2 linked regions of the Saccharomyces cerevisiae S288C genome follow. The protein of the gene in region 1 interacts with the protein of each later gene in a biochemical or structural test. Each region holds a gene or a part of one and is shown on either strand. Other genes may lie near its edges.

Region 1 (3,759 bases):
CTCACACAAATCTTCCAGGTCTCTACTGTTCAAGTCCATTTGTGCAAAAAGATCAAAATATGCCTTTTTATACTCTCTATTCTTGTGGCAAGCATCTTCGTCCCGGACATAGTAATTGTCTATTTCATCACGTTTTGTTAAGGGAGATGGAAATTTGCCTGGTATATCTTTAACCGATAACTTATAGGGCGATCTTCTAACCTCATTAACTCCATCCTTGTTAAATAATTTCGAGAGCAAAGGGTCGTCTTCCTGAGGTGGTATAAAGGGTATCTGCGAATTGGAAAGCTCATTTATAGTTCTCCTTTTTGTGTGTAGTCTGTGACCAAATGTATCCGTAGGTTCGTTACGAAGTGGTTCTCTCGGTACTATCGGAGCAGGACTTCGTAAAGATCGTATTCTCTCTTTGCTGTGGTGGTCACCGTTAACAATTGAGTTAAAGCCGTTCTCGTTGTACTCTGGGAGTAACTCGTACTTCCTATGGAGCGTTGAATCCAGACCAGACCACGAATTTGACCTCGATAAGTTTGTACTCCTCCTGTTGGAGTCATTTCCAAACTTCATAGAAAAATTTGTGTCGTCTTGGGCATACCTAGATCGGTCTCTTCGTTCTTCCTGATCTTTATATTTCATTGAAGGTGATATGTCCGTACCAAACAGCGCATCCTTAGTCCATTTGAAAAGACCAAAAATGCCCCCTCCGCCCGTGTTGTCTTCCTGATTCATTGTTCAGTAGTCATTCGCCTCTATGCTCCTTCGAAGATTGACTTTTTTCGTTGTTTTGATTTCCTCGTCTTCAGTCTCTTTATGTTGTATTAGTTTTCAAAGTGTCAAGTTTTTCGTGATTTTCACCGAGCGACACAAAAACGGGTCGCGTCAGAAATAATTTTAAAAGAGCAGCGTAATATACCGCTACAGAAAAATTGGTTCAAGTATCCATTTTTAAGCATCTTTGCTTCTATTTACTCTTGAAAATATTCCTCCAGTATCGCCTGTGTTGGAGTGCGGTAACTTTTATTGTTTTCTCTACGAGTGAAAGGCATTTTTTGAAACCACTATTCGTTTCCTTCTGTAAGTTATCTCATCTTTTTCGTATCCTCCGCACTTTTACCCTGAAATGCGAACTAAAGCAACTATACATTGTTAATAATGATACTGAGGTTCAAAAGTGCCAAGTTATCAATTCATGCGCGCTTTACCCGGCTCCATCTTTCCGAAAACGGAAATCATCGCGAAATTTGTCTCAACGGAAGTACACGAAATTCGTCCCGCTGAACCTCAAAACTGCGTGTTCTAGTCACGAAACGCGCCAAAAACCGTTATGTTTCCGCATGCGGATACCTAGCGAAGAGCACATTTGGCGTAGCCTGTTAAGTATAACTGCTAAAAATTGAAATGAACACCAACTGAAACAACTGTTGGCCCTTTTTGAGGATCTAACCTGCGAAATGTTGATCTGACAGGCCTACTGAAAAACGGAAAGGAAAAAAGGCCTGCGCAAACGCAGAACGCAGATCCGCCTTCTATTTGCGTATCGCACGCAGCCTCTGGCTACTTGTTTAACTTACTATCTCTTTCATATATAAAAAAATAGCAATCGACTCTGGTAACTATTATGCTCCTCTTACTGGTTTTTTAGTGAATTGGCAATAGATAATATCAAGGACAACTTACTTTTATTTTAACATCTACTTTACTTCATCGTCAAATTTTCTTCTTATATACAGCATTGCTAGACTCTATAGCTGCCAATTCATTCGCTTACCACATCATAATTTGCATACAAAAGAAAATCTTTTCTTTTTTCCATTCATTCATTAAATTTAACGACAGACAATGGCTAGTGCTGAACCAAGACCCCGTATGGGACTCGTCATCAATGCTAAACCGGACTACTATCCGATTGAGCTATCTAATGCAGAATTACTTTCTCACTTCGAAATGCTGCAAGAATACCACCAAGAAATCTCCACCAATGTTATTGCTCAATCATGTAAGTTCAAACCTAATCCAAAACTAATAGACCAGCAGCCTGAAATGAACCCCGTGGAAACAAGGTCCAACATTATCACTTTTTTGTTCGAGCTGTCTGTGGTCACTCGAGTGACAAATGGTATTTTTTTTCATTCAGTTAGATTATATGACCGCTATTGTTCCAAGAGAATCGTGTTACGGGACCAAGCCAAATTGGTTGTCGCTACTTGTCTCTGGTTGGCTGCTAAAACTTGGGGCGGTTGTAATCACATCATCAATAATGTAGTCATCCCTACTGGCGGAAGATTTTATGGTCCCAACCCAAGGGCACGTATACCTCGACTCTCTGAACTAGTTCATTACTGTGGTGATGGTCAGGTCTTTGATGAATCAATGTTTTTACAAATGGAAAGACATATACTAGACACTTTAAATTGGAACATTTATGAACCAATGATCAATGATTACGTTTTAAATGTTGATGAAAATTGTTTGATGCAATACGAACTTTATGAAAATCAAGTTACTTATGACAAACAATGCTCTGAAAAACGTCAGTCTCAATTATCCCAGGATAGTGATGCCACTGTAGACGAGAGGCCCTACCAAAACGAAGAAGAAGAAGAAGAAGACTTAAAACTAAAGATCAAGTTGATTAATTTGAAAAAATTCTTGATTGATGTATCCGCGTGGCAGTACGACTTACTTAGATATGAACTTTTCGAAGTATCGCACGGCATATTCTCCATTATCAATCAATTCACCAATCAAGACCACGGTCCTTTTTTAATGACTCCAATGACATCAGAAAGCAAAAATGGTGAAATTTTGAGTACCTTAATGAACGGCATTGTTTCCATTCCTAACTCCTTGATGGAAGTGTATAAAACGGTCAATGGTGTTCTACCCTTCATTAATCAAGTGAAAGAATATCACTTGGATCTACAAAGAAAACTGCAAATTGCATCCAACTTGAACATTTCGAGAAAGCTTACCATATCAACCCCATCATGCTCTTTCGAAAATTCAAATAGCACATCCATTCCTTCGCCCGCTTCCTCATCTCAAAGCCACACTCCAATGAGAAACATGAGCTCACTCTCTGATAACAGCGTTTTCAGCCGGAATATGGAACAATCATCACCAATCACTCCAAGTATGTACCAATTTGGTCAGCAGCAGTCAAACAGTATATGTGGTAGCACCGTTAGTGTGAATAGTCTGGTGAATACAAATAACAAACAAAGGATCTACGAACAAATCACGGGTCCTAACAGCAATAACGCAACCAATGATTATATTGATTTGCTAAACCTAAATGAGTCTAACAAGGAAAACCAAAATCCCGCAACGGCGCATTACCTCAATGGGGGCCCACCCAAGACAAGCTTCATTAACCATGGAATGTTCCCCTCGCCAACTGGGACCATAAATAGCGGTAAATCTAGCAGTGCCTCATCTTTAATTTCTTTTGGTATGGGCAATACCCAAGTAATATAGTTCCTGTTCTTTTCATGATAAATGAATGCCAATTTGCCAAACGTACCAAAAAGAGACCAATATTATAAGATTTATAAAAGAAAAGCTTTCATATTCTGCGGGAAAAGAGAGACCACATACTCAGTTTATCGCTATAATTTTAACGGTATATATTTATATTTTTGTAAATCAATGAAACAGCCAACTAAATTCTGTGTAGAGTTAAAAAAAGGACATTAAAAGTATTTTTCTTTGCTGATGGCACTCAAGTCTAATCTTATTAAAAAAAATCGATTATTAGAATAA
Region 2 (3,282 bases), on another chromosome or scaffold:
ACTTTTTACTTGAAATTCCAGAAGGGCCGAAGAAACCAGAATTCCTTCACAGAAAACTATTGAACTACAGAATTCTCCAAAAGATACACTCATAGTGTTAAGACGAATCAATGTCTCGGATTTGGAAGTCCTTTATAGAGATAATTGTAGGGGCCTTTTGTAATGTTTCGGATGTTCTGTTTTAAGTCCGCGGGAGGCCTTTTTATTTTTCGCTTTTTTAGAGATTTCACGAATAAAAGCGTTGCAGAAATGCAACTTCAAAAGAGACTGAAGGAAACACAGATAGAAGAACAGTCTTCAAAGCAATCAATTCGTGTCGGTGCAGCTTAAGAAATGACTTTTATGCAACAGCTTCAAGAGGCTGGGGAAAGATTTAGGTGTATCAATGGTCTTTTATGGGTTGTTTTTGGGCTTGGTGTCTTAAAATGTACAACGTTATCACTTAGATTTTTAGCTCTTATTTTTGATCTTTTTTTACTACCAGCAGTCAATTTCGACAAGTATGGTGCTAAAACTGGTAAATACTGTGCTATCACTGGTGCAAGTGACGGTATTGGTAAAGAATTTGCTAGACAAATGGCGAAACGTGGCTTCAACTTGGTATTGATCTCGAGAACGCAATCTAAATTGGAGGCTTTACAAAAAGAACTAGAAGATCAACATCATGTCGTTGTAAAGATTCTAGCCATTGACATTGCGGAGGATAAAGAATCCAACTATGAATCCATTAAGGAATTGTGTGCGCAGTTACCAATCACCGTTTTGGTCAATAATGTTGGTCAATCACACTCCATTCCTGTTCCATTTTTGGAAACAGAAGAGAAGGAGCTTAGAAATATTATCACTATCAATAACACTGCTACATTATTAATTACACAAATCATTGCACCAAAGATTGTGGAAACTGTGAAAGCTGAAAACAAGAAGTCGGGTACTCGTGGTTTGATCTTAACCATGGGCTCATTTGGTGGTCTGATTCCCACCCCACTTTTGGCTACATACAGTGGTTCGAAATCATTCTTACAAGGTTGGTCTAACTCTTTGGCTGGGGAATTATCTAAAGATGCTATCGATGTTGAATTAATCATTTCATATTTGGTCACTAGCTCGATGTCTAAAATCAGAAGATCATCTTTAATGATCCCAAATCCACAACAGTTTGTAAAATCCACTTTAAGAAGCGTTGGCAGACGCTGCGGCTCTCAAGAAAGATACGCTACTATGACCCCTTACTGGGCGCACGCAGTGTATCAATTTGTAATTACAGAGACCTTTGGCGTTTACTCTAAGATTGTTAACTCCATTAATTATTCCTTCCATAAATCTATCAGAATTAGAGCCTTAAAAAAAGCCGCAAGACAGGTTAAAAAGGAATAGAATTATCGTTCTCGAGATAGTTTTTATACAATACATATATATATATATATATATATATTTACAAGAAAAGCATGGCTTATGTATTATACTTGCTTATGTACCAATATATACATATATGGCCTTATTAGGGCAACAAACGCCAAAAATAAAAACGAACCTAAATGAGAAAAAAAGAGAAAAATTTGGAAAACAACAAGAACTCAAAAAAAAAAATTGGTGGAAGGACCAAGTCCTCTTGAAAGAAAATTTAATACTGCTTTTCCAGAATATCATATTGGAAAAAATATTCAAGCCAGCACATCAGCTACAGTGGAAAATAGCCCAGATCAAATAGAACTATCCTTCGAACATGAGCGGTGAATTAGCAAATTACAAAAGACTTGAGAAAGTCGGTGAAGGTACATACGGTGTTGTTTATAAAGCGTTAGACTTAAGACCTGGCCAAGGTCAAAGAGTAGTCGCATTGAAGAAAATAAGACTAGAGAGTGAAGACGAGGGTGTTCCCAGTACAGCCATCAGAGAAATCTCATTATTGAAGGAATTAAAAGACGATAATATTGTCAGATTATACGATATTGTTCACTCTGATGCACACAAGCTATATCTTGTTTTTGAGTTCCTCGATTTGGACCTGAAAAGATATATGGAGGGTATTCCAAAGGACCAACCGTTAGGAGCTGATATTGTTAAGAAGTTTATGATGCAACTTTGTAAGGGTATTGCATACTGCCACTCACACCGTATTCTGCATCGTGATTTAAAACCGCAGAACTTATTGATTAACAAAGATGGGAATCTAAAACTAGGTGATTTTGGCTTAGCGCGTGCTTTTGGTGTTCCGTTGAGAGCTTACACACATGAAATTGTTACTCTATGGTATAGAGCTCCGGAGGTATTACTGGGTGGAAAACAATATAGTACAGGTGTCGATACATGGTCCATCGGCTGTATATTTGCCGAAATGTGTAACAGGAAACCAATCTTCAGTGGCGATAGTGAGATCGATCAGATTTTCAAGATATTCAGAGTATTGGGAACGCCGAATGAAGCTATATGGCCAGATATTGTCTACTTGCCTGATTTCAAGCCAAGCTTTCCTCAATGGCGCAGAAAAGACCTATCACAAGTGGTACCAAGTCTAGATCCACGCGGTATTGATTTGTTGGACAAACTCCTCGCGTATGACCCTATTAACCGGATTAGCGCCAGAAGAGCAGCCATCCACCCCTACTTCCAAGAATCATAAGCATTATAATCTATTTCGCTATTATATTACAAATGCTACTGCACTGTCATTATAGCCTAGTAAAGTATATAGTGAATACAATATACTCAGTTTCAACATTATGATGGGTAACTCCATCAGAAAATATATTCATCGTCATATACGGAACATTCAGTTATACGCGAAAGTAAAAGTGAGAGCTTTTCAGGGGTTAAAAGCTGGGCGTGTTCCATGACGTATTTACCGAGGTCGTATTATCAAAGAAAATGAAAAAAAAAAAAAAAAAAAAAAAAGCGAAGAGGAAAAAGACAAACGAAAAACAAAACGAAATAACGCATTGTATGCTGGGGCCTCAATTGAACTTCTTTGACTATAAGGAGTTCGCTTGTTTAAAGCCGTTTCGCATCTGACTCGCCCTTGGTTTTTTTCTCTGTTCTTGTTTTTGACCTCCGCAAATTCATTGCTCTTTGAATTTTGAAGAGTTTCATTGTCACCGTTGAATAACCGAGACGGGTATTGTTTTTATTTCCTTCATTATTTACATCGCAACACGATTTTTATTAGCTTCCTCAAGGAGCGCTGACCGTATATAATATAATTTCAACAACCGAACAAGGCAGTGCGAAGCGGTGCACCTTACAACAGTGCTAAAGTAGTTACAGTAAACCAATTAATACGTG

The links.
Region 2: the proteins of CLN2 (region 1) and CDC28 form a complex in vitro, tested with the Saccharomyces cerevisiae proteins (8 studies listed by BioGRID, with this or other methods).

What each region holds. Positions count from the first base shown.
Region 1 is NC_001148.4:64,692-68,450, reverse strand, and holds CLN2 (cyclin CLN2), read left to right. Parts: upstream 1-1,836; coding exon 1,837-3,474; downstream 3,475-3,759. Other genes in the region: BBP1 (Bbp1p), read right to left, coding at 1-726.
Region 2 is NC_001134.8:558,352-561,633, forward strand, and holds CDC28 (cyclin-dependent serine/threonine-protein kinase CDC28), read left to right. Parts: upstream 1-1,726; coding exon 1,727-2,623; downstream 2,624-3,282. Other genes in the region: IFA38 (ketoreductase), read left to right, coding at 334-1,377. UniProt on the Saccharomyces cerevisiae protein: Cyclin-dependent kinase that acts as a master regulator of the mitotic and meiotic cell cycles. Required to drive the G1-S transition. More than 200 substrates have been identified. Substrate specificity is in part regulated by the bound cyclin protein.